2 linked regions of the Astyanax mexicanus genome follow. The protein of the gene in region 1 purifies or fractionates together with the protein of each later gene. This does not show direct contact. Links are inferred from orthologs where the notes say so. Each region holds a gene or a part of one and is shown in the gene's direction. Other genes may lie near its edges. The genes, in order: naf1 and nop10.

Region 1 (13,819 bases):
TTATTTATTTTCTAACCAAATTAATAAGATTAAGTTAATTCAAAATCATGACTTAAGTTGGTATTATTTGATCTACTGAAGATACTACTGATGGAACATTGTTTTCTATTTGATCTTAGGTTGTGGTAAGCGAGATCTTGGCAGTAGGGTTAAGTTAGCCCTTTTCTCCTTTGACCTTCTGCTCGGTTTGGGAAAGCCTGAAGAAGCTGGGAAAATACTGTCAGAAGCAGAAACTGTCCTTCAACAGGTGAGATTTTCTATTTGTTTTGCAATATATTAAAATTGTACATGGACATATACAGACAGGTGAGACAGGTGAGACTGTGTTTTGGAAGAATAGTGTTTCAACCATTAGTTTTTACTAATACTAATACTTAGAATTTCTATGCTTTATGTTTTTAAATTTGTCACCCTCAAATTTGAATGAGCACCATAGGCCACATTTTGTCTGTAACTATAAAGGTTTTCTCCCACAACACATTTCAGAAATCTTTCTGATATTGTGTATTTTTTTAAATAATTTTTAGATTAAATTTGAGATTTGTTCCCATTTTCTCCCCAATTTACTTGGCCAATTACCCAACCCACTCATTAGGACTCCCCCTATCAATAGTAAAGTAAGGTGAAGGCTCCTCCACTACATGTAAAGTCACCACCTCTTTTTGAACTGCTGCTGAGGCAGCATTGCCAAGTAGCATCACAGTGCGCATGAAGGGAAAGCGCAGCGACGCGGTTCTTATACGTTAGCTCACAGATGCCTTGTGCTGATCGACATCACCCTTTGGAGTGTTGTAGGGAGAGAGTGCCATCTACCCACCTCTCAGGGCTCTGGCAGCTGATGGCAATGCTTAGCTGGACAACTGGGAGCCCCTCTGATATTGTTATTGATGTTGCAGGCAGATGAGCTGGATGAAGACAGCGTGAGATCACTGCTGGAAGTGCAGAACATGCTGGCTAAGTTCTATTTCTACATGCAGCAGCTGGACGAGGCAGAGCTGTACAGCAGTAAAGGCTTAAAAACAGCAGACATCCTTACAGTTTCCAGTTCTTCTCATTCAGAGAACATCAGGATGATAAAAGGTAGCAGATGCAGGATCTGTCAGTCTGCAGTAAAGCATAACTGTGGATATACAGTTTGTATAGTGTTTGTGTATTGTGTTATGGATGTTACAGTAATATGTGTGTAGATGTGCTCATCTGTATTTATGTTTGTTCTTTTTCAGGGCAGTTTCTGTGTTTTCTGTCTCAGATAGAGCTGAAAAGAGGCTGTTTGTATACAGTTCCTGGACTTTTAAAGGAAATCAGCAGTACTGGCCTCAAGTGCATTCACCCATGTGCTGAAGCTACTGTTACTTTACTGCAAGGCCTATACAAGTACGTGATTATATGCAACAATACGTAGATCAACTGCAGACTGTTTATTTTAATAATTCCTGACAGTAACATTATTAGTAAGTCATTGTTAGCCCATTGTAATTCAGGAACAGTGGTAGTATTATATGGTCAGGAACAACTACCAAAGGCACAAGCCTGCTATATACTCAAGCCCAGGAACACTGTACCAACTGTAAAGCATGGTGGTGGACGCATCATGACACAAAGTGGATACAAAATTTATGAAGAAGACTGCTCTAGACAATTTTAGACTACCCCATCATTGAAACATGGATGCTGCCGGCTGTTCCGGCACATCAGAGGGTTTGTGAAAAAAAAATAAAGCAGGCTAGCTTTAAGCTTTTACAAAAAGTTTTACTTTTATTTAAAACTACCCAAAGTCCTAACCTTAACCCAAATGAAAGTATGTGGACAGCGTGTTAAAGTGTTAAAGAAGGTCTATGCCTGGAAACCAATAATTATTGCTGGATTTAACATATTAAATTAGAAAACACACATATAACGTGACACATTTAAGTTTGCATTTTTGTTAAAATTAAACAAACTAACACTTATTTTGAATAATGTTTTTATATTTGATTTAGTCACATTTTTGTTTCATAATAAGTTCAAAAGACAAAATTGTACATAACAGAGAGAAATTATAACCCAAACACACCCAGAAAAGGAAGAAAAAAGGGGGAAAAATAATAATAAAGCAAAAGCAGGGCTGATGATAACTACAAAATAATAATAATAATAATAATAATAAAAACGAAATTAAATCCCAATAGTCATACAATTATACACAAAATAAAGAATAATAACAATAATAAAATGAATAGATAAATAATAATAACTATAGTAATTTAATAGTAATTTATTATTGGATCCCAAATCTGTTTAGTGTAAACGCTCTATAGAGACACTTATTTTGAATTTAAAAAACGTGTGGTCTGAAGACAATAATCTAATCTAAATCTAACAACATCTAATTTGACAAAGGGTCCCCTAGTACAAAACAGAAATAGTGCTTTCAAACATTTAAAGATTTTATGTTGGAAGAAAAAAATCAACATATTATAGATAAATGTTTGGAATTTATGAGGTATAAATGTTTTTTATGTGCAGATTTGCTGTTGGCGAGCTGAGTGCAGCTGAGAGCTGTGTGGAGGCGGTTTTGGCCAGTAGGAGGCGCTGGTATGGCACTGAACATCCCCTGGTTGCAGCAGTGGAGGAGCAGCTGGCCGACATTTGGTCTGACAGCAACCACACTGACAAAGAGTGAGAGATCCAGGAGATTATATGCATACATCAGTGTTACTTATCCCACTGCTAACAGTTTACAAAAAATGGGATTAGATCATGGAGCTTCATCTGGACACAGACTGAAAAACACTGATATATAAAATATTTCATTAATACTATAAAATTCAAATATTTATTAAAATGTTTTAAATATTTATATTTATTTCCACAGGGTTCTATTTTGGGCCCTATACAACTGATGCTAATTATGATAGCAATGTAAATTTGATAGTGTTGAAGTATGGGCTTACATACAGAGGCATTGGACCCTATATGTTGTTATTTATAATTATATTAATACATTTCATTCTAATATTGTTCTGTTCTATTTATCTATTATTCATTTTTATTTTATGATTTCATTGTATATGACTGTTTGTCATCATCCTTAAGAGTTAAAAAGGTAGTTTTGTAATTGTGCTCTGTTTTAATTGGTTGGAAAACTGAGACTCTGATTTTGCTGTCTATAGGTTTATGTTTGAGTAAAAGGAACATTATTCTATAAACTACAAACAACATTTCTCCTAAATTCAAAATAAAATTATTGTCATTTAGAGCATTTATCTGCAGAAAATGAGAAATGGCTGAAATAACAAAAACGATGCAGAGCTTTCAGACCTCAAATAATGCAAAGAAAACAAGTTCATATTCATAAAGTTTTAAGAGTTCAGAAATCAATATTTGGTGAAATAACCCTGATTTTGTATCACAGTTTTCATGCATATTGGCATGTTCTCCTCCACCAGTCTTACACACTGCTTTTGGATAACTTTATGCCTGCACTCCTGGTGAAAAAACTCAAGCAGTTCAGTTTGGTTTGATGGCTTTTGATCATCCATCTTCCTCTTAATTATATTCCAGAGTTTTTTTTTATTTGGTAAAATGAACAAAAACAATCGTTTTTAAGTGATCCCATTTTTCCAGAGCTGTATATATATATATCTATGTAGAATGTTGTAAAATGATCTTTTTTCATGTTTTCCTGTAGCTGGACTCAGAGGAAGGCCACTGAATTGTTTCGTCATGTCATCCATGTCAGAGAAAGAGTGATTAAGAGCTGGGGGATGACCTCCTTCCTGTCCAGGCCCATGCTGCAGGACCTCACCAACACTCTGCTTAAACTCGGTGAGTGAAAAAAGGGGCTGGTGTGGTTATATGCTACAAAGCCAAGTGATTTTAACTGGATACAATGCAGCATATTGTTAAAAAAACATATATTGTTCTAAGTATTTAATTTTTTTATTATTACCCGGAGAGATTGATTATAATATATGGGAATAGTGGCCGGGATTGGCTGTGGCAATGCAATGCAATGTGAAAAAACAAAGAATACAGTTTTGCAGACTTATGTTGCCTCCAGTGGTTCACTGACCTTGTTCTTTCTCCAGGTAAAGTGTTAATGCAGAGCTCCTGTGCGGCTGAAAGGAGAGAAGCTCTGAGTTTACTGCAGAGAGCTACTGACCTGACTCACCTTCTCAACGCTGGCCACCCACTCTCCAGACACAGGCAACAGTAAACCCATTCATTATGTATTATATTGATTGTACTATATGCTGTTGTAAGTACTGAACTTGTTGCTAGATGTAATAGAACCATTATAACATGGTAAAAGCTTTTGTAGGTCTGAAATATAGGAATGAATGTATATTAAGAAATGAAATTAAGTTGCCAAAGAAATTTTTTTATTTTAAGTTGCCAAAGAAAAGTTTTTATTCTTGTTTACTGTCTTCAACTTTGACTGAAAAATATGTGGGGCTGTCATATTCAGAAATGTTCCATATTGCAAGGTGAAATATATATTTGTCTTCTCTTTCTATCCCCAAACTTCATGATTTGGACTCTGCATTGCACCACACTGGATTGGACAAATGATGATTTTACCATAAATCAAATTTTCGTTCATTTTTAATACTCTATTTAGAATCATTTGCAGGCAATGACTGCCAGAAGTCTGGAACTCATGGATATGTTCACCAAACACTGGGTTTTCCTCCCTTATGATACTTTGTTAAGCCTTTACTGCAGCTGTCTTCAGTTGTTCTTGGTCAGTGGGTCTTTCTACCTTTTATTTTGTCTTAAGTGAGTGAAATGCATGTGTCCAATTACTTTTGAGCCCCTGAAATGAGGAGGCTTTGGATAAAAATGGTTGTAAATTTCTAATGCTTTATAGAATATTATTATTCAGCCCCTCGAATTAGACCAGAAAGTCTACACTTTAGTTGCATCTCAGCTCAAATCATAATAATTGAGTCACTGTCCAATTATTTTTGGACCTAAATGTATCTAATTTACATAATTCATCTATTACCAACAAATGTAGCTTATCAGCGGAGCCATGTTTGGTGAACTTTTAGAGTTTTAATGTTCCATAACTTAAATTAAAAGTAAGAAATATTAATTTTTCATTTCTTGTCTTTTTCTCAGTGTCTTTAACACAGATATTTCAGTAGTTAAGAAGCGACTGGACACCCCAGCAGCTTCCAGATCAAGAGCTTGTTTAACCAGTAGACTCCTCACTAAATCCCCCCTGCTTCATCAGTCTAGACTGACCTCTACACAACCTGGACCTGCCACAGCACCTCTGGAGCCAAAGCAGAACATAGAGAAAACCCTCACCCGGCCCTGGACAACATTTCAGACCAGTGTGTTCGGGCCTCAGAGTGATATCAGGACTCTGGTACCCAGAGAAGAGGTGTGTGGGTCCAGGAAAATCTCATCTAAGGAGGGGTCTGATAAGAGGCCTGACCGCTGCCGTGTCCAGGAGGAAGCAGTGAAGGCACTGAATAGACAAATGGGAATGTATGTTTACAGGAAATCAGCACGTTAGGACTGCATTGCATTTCTTGTTTATTCACATGATTTAAAATCTGATTCAATGATGCAATTAACTGATTGGTGTGCAGTTTGACAAATTTCGGGCAATTTTGTATATAGTTTAGACCAAATATTTAGCATTTATTTTATGATTTATAATGACCTATTACATTTTTTACAGACTCTAAACAAAAAATATTTATATATATATACTGCATACAGTACTAGATACACATTTAATGTGTTTTCTTTCTTTTTATGATTTTTTAAAATTGTAAATGTAACGAGATTTGCACACTCATTGGCTTCATGAGGTAGAGTAAAGTCACCTAAAGTATTTTTTTCATCATCTTGGGTTTAGATCAGGGGATTGTGGAGGCTGAACACCTTTTTTGTTTAGTCCATAATTCCTTATGTGTCCCTAAATTACTTTCATGTCTTTAATATTTGAATCTACAATAGAGAAATAAATGACTTAAATTAATGAAATAAAGAAAACATTGAATAAGAAGTAGTGTGTCCAAACTTTTAACTGGTGCTGTATTTGAATGCAAAATATATAAAAAAATACAATTTAATAACCTGTTTATTGCATAAATTTTAATATTTAGATGCAGAATTGGTTATTGTTGTAAAATAAACTGTTTTGTATTGGTAAAAGAGGCGCAGCGCCCTCTGCTGGGCGGATTATTGTGTAGTTACTGCTGATGCTGGTTCTGAGCTCTAGAGGGCGCTGGACTATTTTACACTGCCTTAAAGTACTCTGATAGATTCTGCATGCACTGTAGGTGCGTGATGGAGAAGTGAGAGACTGAAGAAGAGACATCATTGAATACTTTTAAGATCATCCGACAGGAGTTTGCCGGTCAGGAACCATAAATATTTCATAAAAGTAGCAATAAAAATAAATATATATTTATTTCAGTCACTGACAGCATGTTTTACACTATGCGAATAGACAAAATCAGTGGATTTTAGAGGTTTGACTGTAATATCTGCAATAAACTAGTGTTGCTGGGTTATACAGTTTTTATACATATATGGCCAAATTTAATTGTGTAAATTTAGATTTTTAAACCCCTGCTCTTTGCAGAAAAAATACTACATTTCAAAAATGTTATGACAGATTGGCCAATCCATTTAATTTAATAAAATGTAATTAATTTAATTAATAAAAGGAAGCTATTTCTCTCTGTAGGTGCGAACTGGGCTGGAGCTGGGTATATTTTGGGGATTTTTTATTTTATGGTATTTTATGATCCACCTCTATCTGCTGCCTCTCAAATCGGTAATGGACACTTTTGACACCTATAGGGTACAAAAACACAAGCAATGGAATTCAGTTGAACAAAAACTTTATTTTATAACATAAATGCATAAAAAAAAAACCTAGACATAAAATGCATAAAATGATAAATGAGCTAAAATACCCGAGTATATTAATATTTTTTATTCACTCACTGCAGACAGAACAAAAAAAGCGTTCTAGTAATCTGCGAATGCTTTCGCAGGTTTTTAACTGATGATGTTCTATTTAGGTGTAAAAGACGTGAAAATATTTTAAATAATATATTAATAATTATCACAATATAATAATTATAATAATATATGTCCACCACGAACACCGACACCCATCTCTTATTATTTTAAATAATATATTTTAACATCATATCGTGAGTTTAAATATAAAGTTACCTTGTTTTAAGGAAACGACTGAAGAGAATATGGTGACTTTTATTTTGAAATAAATATTGTCTCCGGAAGCTGCGCGCTTGAAAGCGTGTTTGTGCCACATGTGTGACTAGCATGCCTGAGTGTTTCTGAATCCAGCTTCAGTCAACAGCCCGAAAATAAGACAGTATGGAGAGTTTAACCGGGGAGGATCTCACAGACACACAGGTACCGGATCTAAATCAGTTTTCTCTGAAAGTTAGACTTCAGTAATGTGTTCAGTGTTTAAACCTGTAGAGTTTAGCTTATCAGAACTACTGTTACTAATCTACTACAGTGTGAACTGCTACTGAGTCTGTTTCGTTTTTACAATTACCATCGCTTACTTCAATTAGGCTGGTTTGATTTTTATATAGATTAGAAAACTGAATAAAAAACACAAACAGCTACTATCTAAGTTCAGAGAACACCACCCACCCAGTCCAGTTGTAAAGTGTTGTGCTTACAGCTGTACTACTAGCTAATTGGCAAATTGACAAACGTGGTAAACTCTAGATACAAGTAGCTACATTCATTACAGTAATTTAGTAGCTTGTATGTGGTTTGGGACGCAGCCAGGACTTGTGGAGGGAGGAATTAGGTGGATCAGGTAGACTGGATTAGGGTTGGAGGTGAAGTCTGCAGGAACCTAGATCTCTGTGTGAGATTAGTGCCATGGGGCATATAGATTCTCAGCTCTGATCCTGGAAGTGAAGACCTCATGCCCTGCATAGTTTAGTATGTTGCTTGTTTTTAACACACCAGCTAGAGTGTATTGTTGTTTGCTGTGTTACACCTTTATGCTGTCTGTCCTATTAAAGAAAATCTACTCCAGACATATTATATCTGTCCTGTATCATTTATTTACTTAATTGCTGGATAAACAGTTCTGGAATAAATTAGGAGACCACTTCAGTTTCTGAATAAGATTCTCTGATTTTGTTATTTATAGGTTTATGTTTGACTACAATGAACATTGTTGTTTTATTCTATAAACTACAGACAACATTTCTCCCAAATAAAAAAAAAACATTATTTAAAGAATTTATTTGCAGAAAAAGGAAGTTCATGTTCATAAAGTTTTAAGAGTTCAGAAATCAATATTTGGTGCAATAACCCTGGTTTTTAATCACAGCCAAGATCTTGGCATCATGTTCTCCTCCACCAGTCTTACACACTGCTTTTGGATAACTTTATGCCTTTACTCCTGGTGCAAAAATTCAGGCAGTTCAGTTTGGTTTGATGGCTTGTGATCATCCATCTTCTTCTTGATTATATTCCAGCGGTTTTCAACTATTAGTGTTTGATCGTTGTCTTCTGTTACAATCTAGTGAAAATCTCAATTTGGGGTGTGCCATTTTATATTGTAAGCAATAACACTAAAAAATTAAATATATATCTAGAATATCATTATCGAAAAATACCCTGGAATATTGTAATATTATTTTAGGGCCATATTGCCCACCCCTAATGTCAACACAAAATAAATCTCTACTGATTAAAGCTGGTAGTTAACAGTTAAATCGGGTGTGCTGGATTAAGTAGGTCTTCATCCCTACAGGACTAGAGTTGCCCCATTTCTGATTTAGTGAATTAACCACTCTTTTTTTTTTTGCTTGTAAATATATAAATATATTTTTTAACATCCTAACATCTTTCCTGTATGTGTTATTCACTATTTTTCAGCCACAAGCAGATATGCCGGTGGATGCACCTGTACATGTTAATCCATCAGCGGGAGAAGACAGTAGCTGTGCTACAGAAAAACAAAGCCCTAAATTTGTACCTGTGGATCACAATCTACATGAACATAAGAAGCCAGAAACTGACAGTGCTACAGAACAATGCTCACTAAAGAACCCTGATGCTGTACCTGATGCAGCTACAGCAGAGGCTGACTCACAGAAAAATGAACCCATGGACATAATAGTATCTGACCTGAAAGAAGAACCATGTTCTGGCTCTTGTAACGAGGCTGTGGGTGAAGCCACAGTGAGTCCCATCAGCGGTGGAGGATCTTTGACTTTGTTAAGCCAGCAGTACAGAGATGACAGCTCTGAAGATCTCTCAGACAGGTATAAAACACACAAAACACTTAAATTATACATCATAACGAGCTTACTGTACTTACTGTACTTATAAAAACTGCACGGACTCACTAATTCACACTAGTAGATCCTGTATACAGTGTTTTTTAATGGTTTATAAAGAACAATCTTCAAGAGGTTTTAACTGTGTATGAACTTTGTAACCTGACATAGTTATTTACACATTCTGTTTTTAAAATTATTTATTTTTATCTCTTGCTTCATTACTGCCTGGCCAAAAAATCGCCACCAAAAAAAAAAGGTCCCACCTTTAGCTTTGATTGCAGCACACATTCACTGCGGCATTGTTTTAATAAGCTTCTGCAATGTCATAAGATTTTTTTAAATCCAGTGTTGCTGGATTAATTTTTCACCAAGATCTTGCAGCAGCATTGATGATGGTAGAGTCTGACCACTGCACAAAGCAGCTCTTCTCCATCCAGCACATCCCAAAGATTCTCAATGAGGTTAAGATCTGGACTCTGTGGTGAACTCTCTCAATCCATGTGTAAAAACGATGATCTCATGCTCCCTGAACCCTGAACTCTTTCACAATTCCAGCACCATGAATCCTGACATTTTTTATCATCTTGGAATATGGCCGTGTTCATCAGGGGGAAAAAAATCCATTGATGGAATAACCTGGTCTATATTCAGGTAGTCAGCTGACCTCATTCTTTCAGCACATACTGTTGCTGAACCTAAACCTGCAGACCAACTTCAGCATCAACCAACCAACCCCACATAATTTACTTACTTAAATCCAGGTGGAGACTTTTTTGGGGCTGGGCAGTGTATATAGAATCATTAGTTTTATGGAAAAAAAATGGCACCTAAACTTTTATATATATATATATATATATATCAGCCATATTTTGAGTATACAGACAAATCTGCTGTTTCATGTTCTATCGATTTTTGTGAGAGACTTTTTTCCTTTTCAGTGACTCAGACTCTTCTTCATCTTCATCCTCCTCATCTTCCTCTTCCTCATCTGGAGTCATTTGCTCAGTGTTGAATGAGATTGATCAAGACGATGACCAAGAAAATAATCTTGCTCCTGGGAAGAGGCCACCACCAGTCAAGACACAGGATGAGCTGCTGATTGAGGTGAGGTCATTGTTGTTTTACTGTGGTTAACTGCACTACCTCACACACTACACACACACACACATACATTAAAAGGCTCTACTTTTATACTTTATTTTTATTTTATTATAATCTGTATCATGTTATCTGATCTTTTTTGTAATTTCTCTCTGGCATCAATAAAGTATCAATAAATTATCTATCTCTGACACTTCAATTGCAGCGGAGACATACATAAATATATAAAATAGAGAAATAGACACTGGGGTAATAAACAAATACTAATAATATTCAGTTTCAGTTTTAATTCTACTTTAATTTTAATTCTAACAGCTGTACAATGTGTGTTGCTAAACTCTATGTAGACATATGGACTATGGTGTTATTAGTTAACTCTAACTAAGAGGGTCTAAAGTGCTGCCACTATGATCAGGAGATTGCCGATTTGAATCCCAGTCATGCAGCTTGCACCTTTCTCTCTCCGGTTGGGTAGATGGCGCTTTTTTCTCTCATCACTCCTAGGGTGATGGCGATCAGCACGAGTCGTCTGTGAGCTGATGTGTTGCTGCGCTTTCCTCCGAGCATGCTGTGAAGCTACTCGGGGATATACAGCTGACTTGTAGCTGACTGGGTAGGACAATTGGTCTTGTTAAACTCTTACTGATGTCCGTCCTGTTTGTGTGTAGGATCTCCCTGCAGTGGAAAATCTGAACATCAGCCTTCCTGAGGACACACAGATTGAGCCCATTGGAACTGTTTCAAGCATCATAGATCAACTAGGTATTCTTACTGTGGCATTCAAAGTACCAATCAAACCATTGTTTAATGGATCAATGTATAATTTTATTTGTAATTGTGTAGGAAGAGATAACAAATGATTAATTTAATATATCAGTCATATAAAGTAATATATTGCTGTTGTTTTGATTTTTGTATTGCTTGGTAGTAATTGTTGAATCAATGAAAGACTCACAACCCCTGAATGAAGACAGTGTCCTATTCAACAAAGACAGGACAGCTATTGGGAAGGTGAGTCCTCAGCATGCTTCAGATATTTCATATTCTTAGTGTTTTTAGGATTAGAATTGCTCTCTTTCTGATCTACATTCATTGTGACTTTAATCGTGTGTTGAGTTACTGTCTTTGTAGCTGAGTAGTCAGTAGTGTGTCTCTTGTGTCCTTTTTTTTGTTTGTTTCTATAGGTGTTTGAGGTCTTTGGTCCAGTTTTCCAGCCTTACTACATCTTAAGGTTCAACTCTCACGAAGACATTGAACAGAAGAACTTGAAAGTAGGGGAGACGATTTTCTTCGCTCCAAATATCAAAGATTTCACAGACTACATCTTTACTGAGCAGCTGAACAAGTGAGTAATCCGTCATTTCTGAATATTTGGACATGGCTCTCAGTCAGTCATATTTACTCGGATGTAAAGACTCAAGGATAAACTACTACCACTTAAATACCTTATGTTGGTGTTTTGCTTATGTTAGCTTTAGCATTTGATCACAAACAGCAGTCTGTTTTTGCTCTTATTGATGAATATTCTGTTTTTTTTCTTGCTGTAGATTTAAAGGATCAGATGCTTCTTGGAAGAATGATCAGGAGCCTCCCCCAGAGGTAAATGTGTTGCTTTAATGATCTGCCATTCTGTAAATATTTTGACATTTATCAATCAGGTTTTACGATGCTGCTCATTGTCAGCATTTATGGCTACGTTCACATTATCAGGCTGAAGTGACTTAAATCAGATTTTTTGCTTAGATTTTTTTAAAAATCATTTTTGAGTCACTTTTAATATGTGGTCCAAAATTGGATACATATCCAATCCAATTGACATGAGACATAATTATGAACGGTCAAAACTGAATTCATGCGTTTTTTTTTTTTTACAATCATGTGCTACGTGCTTCTCTCTCGTACCCACACATCTCTTGGTGCAGCTGTGCAGCTATATAGCTGCAAAAAAACAGCAAAAGCAAACCACCTGGCCTTTTTTCACCTCCTCAACCTGAGCATGAACTTCAGAGCAGCTGTTTACTCTCCACTCCAGCACAAGATGCTCCACATATCAGCTGCTAACAAACAAATCAATTTCCCTTTATAAAGCTACAAGTTTTCTCTCGAATATGAGATTTATTTTGTTGTTAGTGAACACACAGATTACACACAGATACAGGTCACTTACATATGTGAATGTATACCGTCAAGGTAGCCAAAGCCGATCTGAGGAAAAAATCGGATTTGAGCAATGTGGTTTTTAATGTGAGCGTAGCCTAAGTTTTCAACTGATCTTGGAAGTACCATTTTTGTTCTTTAGTAGCAATTTTAGGCTTGCAATCTGCCTATACCATCAATAATGCTGTTTGTAGATTGACTATAATTATATTGTGATTGCAGCTTTGACCTAATGTAATTGCAACCAATGACTAGATAATTTGTACCAGACAGCTATGAACCCCAATCAGTGGAGATTGGGACTGAAGTTTGCTTCCCTGCTGAGTAGTGTGTGAATGAGTTAATAGGGCGTGTGTTTCCTGTGGAGATTGCTGATTTGGGTTTATTGTGTTAATGGTGGTGTGTTGGTCTGTGTTGGTTTGCAGGCTCTGGACTTCAGTGATGATGAAGAGGAGAAAGTGGCCAAGCAGAAGCTGAAGCAGCAGAGGAGACAGAGGCAAGGCCGAGAAGAGTCGGACTCCGGTCAGTCACAGCACCAAACACTGCTCTGTGCCTCGTAGGGATGGGCGATTTATAGCCCTAAAATAATATCACGATATTTCATGGTATTTTTATGAGTGATATGACAAAAAACTGAATAAAAAAGACATTTCAAATATCTCCATATATCCAGGACTAAAATAAAATAAATGATACTGGCAGAGGTGGAAAGTAACTAATTAGATTTACTCACATTACTGTAATTGAGTAGATTTTATGAGTAATTTGTAATTTAAGTAGTTTTTAAATTAGGTAATTTCACTTTTACTCAAGTTCATTTTAAAACAAGTATTTTACTTCGCTACTTTGGAAAACTCCCCATTTTTGAGTAAAAAAATAAAATGCTGGGGAAAAAAAAAACCATTGTTTTAATAAAAAAAAAAAATTGAGTTTTGTTCTCCATGTTCGCACAGCTGAACTTTTCCCAGCAGTGTTTATTATTATGGTTAGCGGGAGAGACGCTGTGTCGAGTTATGCTACCCATCGATATGAGCTTCTTTACGGCACTGCTCATGCGCCCACCAACAGTTTTTTTTTTTTTTTTTTTTTTTTTGTGATTTCATAGCAATGGCAAGTAAAAAAAACTGTAAAACTATAAAAATACAGTTTATAGTCACATATATGACCATAACCTTGGGTTGGTCTGAACAAATACTGCCTGAAAGGTCAAAATTATTTAATTAAATAATTATTTCATTTATGATTTGTTGTTTTTACATCAA
Region 2 (12,307 bases), on another chromosome or scaffold:
CTTGCACTACACTTCGCTCAAATTGGTCTATTCTCTCTGATTGGTCTATAACTTGAATTTCAGGCACTTTTTCCTCATCAGCCCCATGCTTGATGACCCTTGGCATATCTACAAGACTGGTCTTTCTATTATAAACCAAATAATTTGTGTTTCCCTTCTTGTTATGAGCCTGAACATCCTTGTCCTTTTTGTCAAAGCTTCTTGTCCATCTTCTTTCATCTACAAGTGTCACCCAATTAAGCTTGCCCCTTCTTGCTGCTTTACCGGTTGTCATCTCCTTTGCTTTTACCAGGTGATGTTTTCTGTGTCCCTCATTTGCTAACATTGGGTTTACAGCTTGTTTTGGTGCCTTTGTCTTCATTTTCACATCAACATGTTTTCCTGCTGTCTCTTCAGATTGCAAAGAACCTGATCTCCTTGTCTTTCTGGTGTCCATAACAAAGCTATGAACAGCCTTGTTGTTGATTTCTTTTGGTTCTTGGTTTGGTTTGCTTTCTGATCTAGGGATTGTTGAAAGTGTAGATGAAGTGAGGAAGTTCGGGCTTGAGGAAGAGGATGTTGTCAGGAGCCGAGTCACTTCTGGATGATGATATTCTGTATGATGGTCAATGGGCTCATTAAGATTGTCTTTAATCGGCAGCTGTGCAGCTGGACATGCCTGCTCTACTGGGTTCATGACCATCTTGGGAAGGTCATCATTGTTATCTGTCACATGAAATGTTTCCATGTCAGTCCCATCCCTGTCGTTTTTTAAATCGGCCATGCTCTTATTCTGTGACTGCTGTCCTGTCATACCTTTGTCGGCATTGTCCTCTTTGATCACATCCTTAGAAGACATTTCTACAGAGGCCCCAGAGGTTATATTTTCAGTGTTCTCAGGAGACTCCAGATCATTCTGGAAACTATTGAAGTCAATTCCAGTGCTTTGGAACTGCTTCCACAAGGTTTTGGGACTGGAAGCTTGCTTGATGTCTTCACTTACTGAACCAATAATAGGTGCACTTGTATGTGAAGAAGAAGGCACATTCTGGTCAGACAGGCAAGATTCAACTGCACTATGGATGTGCTTTTGAGCTAATGTTGGTAAAGAGCAGTTTTCTGGGACACAATCAGGATGTCCCATGCTACTGTGATTGATAGAACTCATCTGGAAGTAAGATAAAGGTTCAGGCAGTGGAGGAAACATTTCAAATTTAACCTGGGTGTTCACATTTTGAAAAGGTAAAAGCTGTAACCCAGTGCTTGAGGCAGGAACCGGGACATCTTTGTCAGGTAAGGGCATTCCAGGATCACTCGATTGATTTAGCAAAGCAGGTTTTTCACTGAAGGTCGTAGGTGGTGGAAGTATACTATTGTCTATGTAGTAGCCAGATTGGAGAGTTTGAGGCTGTGGTTCAGGGTGTTGTTTTGGTTCTGGTGCTGTAGCATAAATGGATTCATCTGGGGATTGAGGATGTAAGTGGCATACTTCTGGTGCTACTTCTGAGTCGTCCTACAATAAGATTCGATCAGAAATGTTTAATGCATTTTCAAAAAATATATAAGTACATGCCAACAACTCGAGAAACTCATTACCTCACTGACAACGTGACTGCAAAACCCATCTTGCTCCTTGTCATCATACTGCATGAATTTCTTGTCTTGATTGTCATCAGACTCTTCTTTGTCATTTGTCTCTGGAGCTTCCATGACCTCGCTGTACTCGTCTGGTGCCGCTTTAACTACGTCAGGTGGTGCTGAGTTAGAGCCTTTCTTCTGATCAGCAGCTTCAAAGACAGAAAGAAGAAAAAAAATGCTTTTTTTAAGCTTAATTAAATAGATATTCCACTCTTAATATAAGGAGATACAAGGCTAAATGCAGACCTTGGCCCATGGCTGGTGGTTCGTCTCTCACAGTTGGAGTTTGCTGTTGTTGCTCAGTGTCTTGACTGCTTGCTGCTTCTATTGTCCATAAGCTTACCATTTCCTTCAGTTCATAGTCCATGAACCTGGTGGAACACATGCATGTCTGTAGGCATTTTTCTGCTTTCCCTTATCCCCAAAACATGCAATCACAAATCTCATAATCTAAAGCCAATTTTCCCTGGCCTGATGAATGCTCCTTCATTCCCAAGCCCAGTGTTTCTCAATTCTGGCCCTGGTACTCACCTGCCCTGCATATTTAGACCTTTTCCTGCTTCTGAAGGACTCGATTCCACTAATTAGTTCATTACAAAACACTGCCCCAGCCTTATAATTGCACAAGCATTTTCTGGTCTTTTAGGTGTGCCATCATTCCCTTATCATATAAAACCGCCATTGTTTCCCAGCCTCATAAGATACATAAGATTCCCAGACTCCAGATAACTGTGCCGATGTTCCATGTCATGCAATCTTCATAGTCATTCCGACTTCATAGGTGTGCAAACTTTTCCCAGTTTCATCGATGCATCATCGTTTCCCATTTTATAAACCATCTCTAAACAGTAAAAAAAAAATATTAAGAAGTGTTCTAAATCACACTAAATTAGTAGAAATTAGCTGTTCCCTAGTCTCAATGGTTACTACTAGTACTACTGTTTTTGCAGTGGATGAGACCAAGCTCTACTGTTTTATTGGTTTATACACTTAATTGGCTGGTTCATGGTCTATTCTGACTACAGGACAACAGCCCTTAAATAGTGTAATGTGCTATAAAATATTTTATAAAAATGAAAATACATGATGTCCATTGTAATGGATGCAGGGTCTGTAAGGCCAGGGAATTGCAAGGTTCAAGCCGATTCTGAAATCACCCTGCAACTTTACAATTCCCACACTAAGACAACAATTGCTGACATGTATAGTAGTGTTCTGAAATGCAATCTGGTGTTTATTAGATGCTGGTAACAATCATACTGACCTCTGAGCCTCGTGGTAGTACTCCATTCGTTCAAAGTCGGACAGCTTCTCCCACTGTGACACAGCGATCTTCACTGCTTCAAAACGAGGGACACCGGGGCATTGAAGAGTGATGGAGTTTATTACTTGTCTAAATAAATACAAAGAAAGATGTTTCACAGATATGATGTGATTTTAAAGTAGTTTGGTAGAGTTTTAGCTTAGCAATATGCTATTGTATGTATTTATTTCATTTTACCCAATTAAGCAGAGCCAATTAACCCACCAACTCACTAACATTCCATTTATCACTTGACCCTAGGAAGACAAAGCACTCGAAGAGTCCCAGAGAGAGCATGGCAAATTGTGCTGCTGATGGTGATGCATTTCAGCTTAATACTCACATGAAGAAGCAAGCCAAGGCCTCCACATCTGGACTGCTGGTGTAGACAAAAGATGCTACCTTGCAGAACATCTGCCAGCGCCTGTAGTTTTTATACAGTTCCTTTGAAGGATTATACCCCTCGCAACACGATTGTACCACAAGGGGCTGTTCATGTTCATGGCTGGTGTTACATTGGAAGTCTTGGCAAGGAAGGAGCGGGACCTCACTGAATGAAGGAGCAGCTGATACTGATGATGTAGTGCTATACATCTGAGGCACTTGAGGGCCAACTGTGAAGTTTGACTGGTTGATCTTCATATATGAACTATGTGGGAGCCAGATTCCATTGGGCAACTGAAGGCTTGGCTGGAAGAAGTCAGGTGGTAATTGATGATTTGATTGCATCCCGTTAACCGTGAGACATGGGACTACTGGAAGATAAGAAGGATGGACATGCTGGAGTCTGGGTAATTGATAGGCATTACCACATGGTTCAGTTGAGACATAGTTGGAGGTGGAAGGCAGGTTTAGAGGCAGTGATGGTCCAGGGACGTCTTGAAAAGGTTGTGGTTCTGGAGGAGACTGAGATATGAATCTTGCCTCTGGAGGAGGCCATATGAATGCATTCTCCATGGCTTCGAAAGAGGAAGGTGGAAAATTATGGGAAGAATGAAGTTTTTCACTACCATGCCCTTGATTGTTTTTCTGACAAAGCAGTTCCAAGATTGCAAGCTTAGTTTCTTGCTCTTCCATTTGAGTTGGAACAAGCTCAGTTTGGTTCTTAGTATGTTTTGAACCAAAAATGGGCTCAGGATCAGGTACATACACTGCAGGATTTACTGGTGGCTCCATGAAAGGTTTTGGATGATCTTCGGGAAGGGCGACACATTCTGGGCTCATAAAGATGTAATCTAAAAAATTACAAGGTGCACTTGCAGATCCAAGTTCCAGTTTAGCTTCAGTTGAAAGCACTGATGTTTCAAATGGTGTAGGATCTCCTAAGGTCCCTTTGCCATCATCTGGCTGCAGTGTGTTCATTGTTATGAGCTCGTCAGTGGACAACAAAAGGGATGCCAGGTCTGGAACAGCACCATAGTCCATGGCTTCGATAGAGGAAGGCGGAGAGTTATGGGAGGAATGAAGTTCTTCAGTACCAGGCTCTTGATGGTTTTTCTGCAACCAATCAAGTGGTTCAGACTCCAGATGAGACTGAACAGGATCTTCTGCCATCAGACGAAGCAGTTCCAAGATTGCAAGCTTAGTTTCTTGCTCTTCCATTTGAGTTGGAACAAGCTCAGTTTGGTTCTTAGTAAGTTTTGAACTCAAAATGGGCTCAGGATCAGGTACATATACTGCAGGATTTACTGGTGGTTCCATGAAAGGTCTTGGATGATCTTCAGGAAGGGCGACACATTCTGGACTCATAAAGATGTCCTCATCTACAAGGAAGTCTTCTAAAAAAAGACAAGGTGAACTTGCAGATTCAAGTCCCAGTTCAGCTTCAGTTGAAAGAACAGATGTTTCAAATGGTGTAGAACATCCTGGGGTCCCTTCACCATCTTCTGGCTCAGTGGACAGGAAAAGGGATGCCAGGTCTTGAACAACTCCACAATCTTCTGCGTTTTTTCCAGTGCCCTCAGTGATTGGGGTTGTCATGGCTTTCTCTGTCCTTTCTCCTCCTTGCTCTTGAGAAGGAGGGGAACTGGTGGCTTGATCCACAAGTGAGGTCTACAGGTGAAGGTACATCTGCATGAGAAAACTAAGAGAAAGTACAAAAAATGAGGTTAGTATTGCGACTGTTCTTCTGAAATTAAATGTATTTAAAAGTATTTATCATGCTTTCATCGTAGTGACTGCCTCTAATGTCCAAAAAAGCTTTCTATTAAATTTTTAAGCTTTGTTGTGAGGATTTGATTGCATTCAGTAGCAAGAGCAGATATAACGTTAGTGAGGTCAGAATTCCTGAGAGCCTAATGCTAGTCCACACTGTCTGCCATGGTCATTCATCTTTGTATATGGTTTAATACCAAACGCTTCATCACATATTTTTGTTCAACCCCTTGAATTAAATATGAAAGTCTACACTTAACTTCTTCTCATTTGCTTCATTTTAAATCCAGTGTGGTGTCACATAGAGCCCAAATCATGAAAAATGTTTCCCTGACCAAATATTTATGGAGCTGACTGTATTTCTTTTCTGTATGGAAGGCCAATAGTACAGTTTCCTAAACTGCTGTAATAAACAGTGAGCTGTAGAGGAGGTATTATTATTATTAGGCCTGATACAGCTGTACTATACTCAGTGTTGTGCCAGTTCACAGCTTTTCTGAACTAGTTCAGTTCATACATGCTCAAAGTGAACAGTTCACGTTCAAAGTTCACAATTTTAATTCTGAACTAGTTCAAAGTTCAGTTCATTTTACTTTTTTTCTGAGATATTCTAAGTTCTTTGAAACTGCTTATTGTAGACATTTGCTCATGACACTGCAATTGTGGGTTTCTTACCAGGTGATGAAAATGTTCATAAGGAGAATCGGTGTCTGTCTCCAGTCATCACTTCCACTAGCCATTTTTTTTTATTGCAGCGCTTTCTCTCACTCCCGTCATTGCTCTCTCTCTCTCTCTCTCTCTCTCTCTCTCTCTCTCTCTCTCTCTATCTCTATCTCTTTCTGTATCTCTCTTTCTCTCTCGCCCTCGCGCTCCGCGCTCTCGTCGTCGGTCTCTCTCTCTCTCTCTCTCTCGCCCTCGCGCTCCGCGCTCTCGTCTTCGGTCTCTCTTTCTTTCTCTCTCTCTCTCTCTCCCTCTCTCTCGCCCGCACTCTGTCGTTGGTCTCTCTCTCTCTCTCTCTCTCTCTCTCTCTGCGCTCTTTTGAACTCGTTCATGCACAACACTGAATATACTGTACTGTACTCACCTTTCACTGCAGTGCAAGTCAACAGAGCCTCCAGCTATCACTGAAGATCGGTTCGCTCACTTCATCAGTTATCAGTGCAGCTTGTTTTTATATTTAAAAATAAACAGCATTCTATTCAGCCAATATAAACCACATTTAATTTACTATAATAATAATAATAATAATAATAATAATAATAATAATAATAATAATAATAATAAACACAGGAAATCTCCTTGGAATAAGGATTATCCATGTTCATTTTAATAATAGTAATAATAACAACAATTTGCTAGAATTAAACTGGCAAGACTTAACTATTTAAAAATATATACTGTAAAAAATATATTATAATAATAAAGTAAAAACAATATAATTTATTCATTTTGAATATAGTTAAGGACAGTTTCATTTGTTTTTCCGCTCATTAAAGAAACACAAACTGCAGCTATATTTAAAGCTAGATTGCACGGCTAAATTGTGCATAACATATCCTATAATAATAAGGATAATATCATATCATATTATATAATATTATAGATATATTACTAAAAATAATATACTATTAACTACTCAACTAACTACTGAAGCATTTTGCTCAAGTAAAAGTATAAAAGTACTGGTTTCAAAACTACTAAAAAATTCAAAACAGTAAAAGTAAAGTAAGGGGAAAAATGCCTTTAAGGTAAACAATTTAATATTTATGCTCTGATATCTATTATAGCAAGTAATTTGTCCGAATTAAACAATAATAATTATTAATAATTGGTGCAGCTATATTTTAAGTGCACAACTAAATAAACATAATAAAAAGTACAGCTGAGGTTAAACAGCTCCTTAAATAAATAAATAAATGACAATAATAATAATAATAATAATAATAATAATAATAATAATAATAATAATAATACTTTTGTAACAATTAATGAATTAATTAGGGAAATAAAAGTGCGCTAAAATATGCATAGTAAAAAGTACAGCTGAGGCAAAACAGATCATATAATAATATACAATGTCATATAATATAGGAATATTTCTAATAATCCTCATTTTTATCCTTATTATTATTATTATTATTATTATTATTATTATTATTATTATTATTATTATATAAAAATGAATTTAGTATAAAGTGTGGCATTATTGTACCGGCAGGGGGCGGTCGCTCTGCAGCGATGATGAGTCGTTACTAAGAACTCCATTTCCCATCATGCTCCTCGCTCCTGACTTATACCGGATGTGGTGTTGAGGAGCAGAGGAACCGCGTGGTTTACGCAGATACTGGACTGTTCTTCGTAAAGCGCTGATTTATCTCATTTTCAGCTCTTTAATCCGGTTTAAAGGCTTCAGATCATCTAATCTAAACTCCAGAGGAACCGCGCTGTAACCATGTTTCTGCAATTCTACCTGAACGAGAACGGAGAGCGGGTCTACACCCTGAAGGTCTGATCCGGATCCTGATCCGCTTTAACGTTACTCACTTAACTTTACTAACCAAAAGCTGATGTAGGGTAAAAAAAAAACGAAGTTGTTCAGATCTTACATTCTGGTTCAGTTAGTCTGGGGTGGTGGACCAGCTTTTTATATCGTCACCAGTAAAGTGTAACGTTAGCTCATGTAACTAGTTATTATGAGTTGGGTGGTTGTATCTGGTTAACAAGACTGATCAGTTTGGCCAAGCTAACCAAAATAACCATGAAGACAATACTGTACCCTGCGAATAAGCCAGTTCAAGAGCAGGGTTTTGCTGGTAAGTTAGCTGGTAAGAAGCTGGTAGATGGTCTTAAATACTCATTTATGGTTAATGTGTTTTTTTTATATGAAACTAGGCATCCAGGCCAAAACGGACCAACTAGCTGATTAACTGGCTGTTAAACATCACTTTGTGTGTTTGTTGTTTGTGTGACTGGTGTGGTGTAGTGGATAACACCACTGCATGGCACATGTGGGAGACTGGGGTTTAATTCCCAATCTGGGTGCGTATGCTGTGCTACATCAATTGGTGGAGCCAGGGGCAAGACTCCTGACACTACATTGGCCCACCTCTGTAACATCAGTAAAAGCAAATCAAATTCAACATATTGAACACTATGCTAATTGATAGCTGATTAACCAGCATATAGTCTGTTTTTGCCTGGATGAGCAGCTTTTTAATCACACTCACCATCAATTATCTTCATGTTTATGTAGTAAATATAGATTCTCTTGGTTTTCTCTTTTAATTATGGTGCTTTGCAAAGTGTTGAGTATTATAAAAGCATGCTCATGATTTAAGTATTGTCTTATTGTTTGGCCCTATAAATGATATAACTCCATAAAATAACTGTATGTGCAAATAAAAGTTAATTAATTAAGAGAAAGATGGCTAAATTTGACACTTTCTAAGAAGTTCCCAGAGGAAAAGAAATTGCTGTATTGTGCAAAAGAGTAGAGCCAGTGAGAATAGAAAAAAATAAGAGAAAAGAAAAAGAAATCTGACAAAATAGAGTGTAAGACAGAACAATAAACACATGCAGCAAGTCATTAAACATTTGCTATTTATGTTTCTGTGTGCTACTAGAACATTGTATGTTGGACATACTGTAGTGAATAGTACAGTATACATGCAGTCAACATTTATTTATTTATTCTTTATTAATATTCCAATTTCAGAAAGTGGATCCAGAAGGCCAGCCCACCAGCTCTGCACATCCAGCTCGATTCTCCCCTGATGACAAGTTCTCCCGGCACAGAGTGACCATAAAGAAACGCTTTGGACTTCTGCTGACCCAACAGCCACGACCTGTGCTGTAACAGAGCACCAAACAATGGACACATCAAGGACATGAAGTGTGTGTTTGCGTGTGCACATGCACACGTTTGTGTGATGTTGGTTGCGTAATATTTTGTTTTACTCTATCCAGTAAAATTGTATAATTATGTTGTTATACAATGTCTAGAGACATCATTTTAAAATGAAAATTTTCCTCAGTTTAATTGAAGCATTTTCTTTAATCTGAGTAAATGTGATACTTTATTAAATCAGGAGAACATTTCTCTCTGTTTTTCTGCAGTTTACCCTTTGCTTCTGGAATTTTGAAATGAATTAATTTGTCACATTTTTAACTCCACTCTCAATCTCTGAGTTTTTTTTCTTTGGGGAAATGAACCCCTTATTCAATAAAACTCATTTGCTAACCTACTGCTGGGTCTGTTTATTGTTTTACCAACATAGAGTGTTGTAGTGCAGCTGTCAGGAAGATAAGATGGGGCCAGAAAAAAATAGAAGAAACCTACCAGACCACTACAGAGCCGCTTTTAAAATTCTACATTCTACATGCAAAAAATGACCCCATATTATAGAATAGTATATTAGGTTATCTACCCACTTGTGAATAATGGTGATTTTCATTAAAGAAAAATCTTAAGGACTGCTACTTTAAGTATTTTGGAAAGTCAACAAGCAGATATGTATTATGTTACTTATCATTATAATTTATTATGTTTTTGTTATTTTACCCAATTTGAAACAGTGACATTTTAACATTGTTTAGTGGTAGAAGGTAGATTACTTTTTATTTTTTTATTTATTTATTTATTTATTTATTTATTTATTTATTTTTTACTTTATATGTATATGGATTAAAGTACAGTAGTGAAGTAAAAATAATACTCCAGTAGATATAGATACAGTATTTTAGTACTTATGTGCAGTTGTGAAGCAAATTCTATTTTTCCTGTTACACATATCTGGTTAAATATATATATATATATATATATATATATATATATATATATATATATATATATATATATATATATATATATATATATATACAGCTCCGGAAAAAAATAAGAGACCACTTAACAATTATGAGTTTCTTTGATTTTACCAAATTGAACACCTCTGGAATATAATCAACAGAAAGATGGATGATCACAAGCCATAAAAACCAAGTAGAACTGCTTGAATTTTTGCTCTAGGAGTGGCATAACATTATCCAAAAGCAGTGTGTAAGACTGGTGGAGGAGAACATGACAAGTGTGAATAACTGTGATTTCAAAACAGGGTTAATCCATCAAATACTGATTTCTGAACTCTTAAAACTTTATTAATATGAACTTGTTTTATTTGCATTATTTGAGGTTTGAAAGCTCTGCATCTTTTTTATTTCAGTATTTCTCATTTTCTGCAAATAAATGCTCTAAATGTCAATGTTTCTGTTTGGAATTTGGGATAAACGATAAAACAACAATGTTCATTTTACTCAAACATTTACCTATAAATAACAAAATCAAAGAAACTGATTCAGAAACCTATATATAAGACTACATTACCCATGCTGCACATCGGTTCCTTTTGTACGGAAAGCGAAAGTGGCCAAGCGAGCCTGTGTATAATACTCTATTAGACAGTGCAGGAGGAGGAGGACGGGCGGTAACTGAAGCACGAATGGGTTTAGTTTAATTCAGTTCATCCAGATCAGGCGCGGCTTTCCCCGGAACTGAGGCGAGACAAGGTGACTCCAGGTAAATGTGCTGGATGGGGAGAATCGGGGAGTGTTTATGGTTGGGGATAATGGGGCTGTGTTTATTACCTGGCAGCTGCAGGAGCTGCTGGGACCTGGGAGCTGTCAGATTTGACTAATTACACACATAGCTAACTAGCCAGCATGCTAAATAGGTAGGCGCTTTATGAGCTAGATAAAGGGTAAAAGCCCTTAATGAATTAGCTAGTTTATCTAACAAATCCTAACCCGAGCAGTAAACAGAGAAACAGAAACAGAGAGAAAACAGTGCTGCCTGCTGCCTCCATTCACTACAGCTGGCTGCTGGTGTGTTGTGCTGGGTATTCCTCCGCAGTCCTGGCGCAGTGCTTTGGCTAAAACATCAGCCAGATTTTTATCACTTTATCCCGGTCTAAACTCTCATCTGACCGGCGCCGCATCTCTGACACGGCCGAATATTATTGTGCTGTAAACGCTGCGCTGTGTCCGCAGACTCCGGGCTGGACTGACCGGTCCGATCCAGAAATCCTAATTGGCTTAATATGGATGCTAGCGGGGCTAGTTAGCTAGCTAAGCTAACTGTTAGCTAAGTTAGCTGAGCTGTGATGCTAGCGGGGTTAGTTAGCAAAGCTAACTGAACTGTGTGATGCTAGCGGGGCTAGTTAGTTAGCTAAGCTAATTGATATGTGTGATGCTAGCGGGGCTAATTAATTAGCTAAGCTAGCTGCACTGTGTGATGCTAGCAGGGTTAGTTAGCTAAGTAAGCTAACTTAGCTTAACTGTGTGATATGACAGCAGGGCTAATTAGTTAGCTAAGCTAGCTGAACTGTGTGATGGTAGTGGGGCTAGTTAGTTTTTTCTCTAAAGCTGTTTTGTGACCACTTCTGTTGTGAAAAGCGCTAATATATAAATTGAATTGAATCAAGTTGGCTAAACTTACTGAACTGTGTGATGCTAGCAGGGCTAGTTAGTTAGCTAACTAGTTAAGCTAGCTGAACTATTTGTTGCTACTGAGGCTAGTTAGTTGGCTAAGCTAGCTGAACTGTGTGATGCTAGCGGGGCTAGTTGTCTAGCTAAACATGCTGAACCGTGTGATGCTAGCAGGGCTAGTTAACCAGCTAAGCCAGCTTTACTGTGTGGTGCTAGTGGGGCTAGTTAGCTAGCTTGACTAGTTAAACTGTGTGATTCTAGCCGGCTAGTTGAACTGTGCGATGCTAGCGGGGCTAGTTTGCTTTCTAAGCTAGCTGAGCTGTGATGCTAACGGGGCTAGTTAGTTAGCTAAGCTAGCTGGACTGTGTGATTCAAGTGGGGCTAGTTAGATAGCTAAACTGTGTGTTGCTAGTGGGGCTAGTTAGCTAAGCTAGTTGAACTGTGTGATGCTAGTGGGGCTAGTTAGTTGACTAAACTTTTTGTTGCTAGCGGGGCTAGTTAGCTAGCCATGCTAGCTGAACTGTGTGATGCTAGAGGGGCTAGTTGGCTAGCTAGACTAGTTGTGATTCTAGCCGGCTAGTTGAACTGTGAGATGTTAGCGGGGCTAGTTTTCTTTCTAAGCTAGCTGAGCTGTGATGCTAACGGGGCTAGTTCGTTAGCTAAGCTAGCTGAACTGTGTGATGCTAGAGGGGCTAGTTGGCTAGCTAAGCATCCTGAATTGTGTGATGTTAGCATGGCTAGTTAACTAGTTAA

The links.
Region 2: the proteins of naf1 (region 1) and nop10 purify together in Homo sapiens (co-immunoprecipitation; 6 studies listed by BioGRID and IntAct, with this or other methods). This does not show direct contact. The link is inferred for Astyanax mexicanus from reciprocal best matches to the Homo sapiens genes NAF1 and NOP10.

The regions. Positions count from the first base shown.
Region 1 is NC_064409.1:7,206,529-7,220,347, forward strand, and holds the start of naf1 (H/ACA ribonucleoprotein complex non-core subunit NAF1), read left to right. Parts: upstream 1-7,261; 5' UTR 7,262-7,356; coding exon 7,357-7,395; intron 7,396-8,892; coding exon 8,893-9,281; intron 9,282-10,237; coding exon 10,238-10,403; intron 10,404-11,068; coding exon 11,069-11,162; intron 11,163-11,328; coding exon 11,329-11,411; intron 11,412-11,584; coding exon 11,585-11,745; intron 11,746-11,947; coding exon 11,948-11,999; intron 12,000-12,982; coding exon 12,983-13,079; intron 13,080-13,819. Other genes in the region: ttc41 (putative tetratricopeptide repeat protein 41), read left to right, coding at 120-247, 897-1,080, 1,224-1,374, 2,506-2,658, 3,671-3,807, 4,071-4,194, 5,107-5,509. UniProt on the Homo sapiens protein: RNA-binding protein required for the maturation of box H/ACA snoRNPs complex and ribosome biogenesis.
Region 2 is NC_064432.1:21,453,684-21,465,990, reverse strand, and holds nop10 (H/ACA ribonucleoprotein complex subunit 3), read left to right. Parts: upstream 1-7,356; 5' UTR 7,357-7,526; coding exon 7,527-7,580; intron 7,581-8,789; coding exon 8,790-8,930; 3' UTR 8,931-9,318; downstream 9,319-12,307. Other genes in the region: uncharacterized protein LOC103045361, read right to left, coding at 1-1,492, 1,576-1,766, 1,864-1,988, 2,882-3,010, 3,264-4,900. UniProt on the Homo sapiens protein: Required for ribosome biogenesis and telomere maintenance. Part of the H/ACA small nucleolar ribonucleoprotein (H/ACA snoRNP) complex, which catalyzes pseudouridylation of rRNA.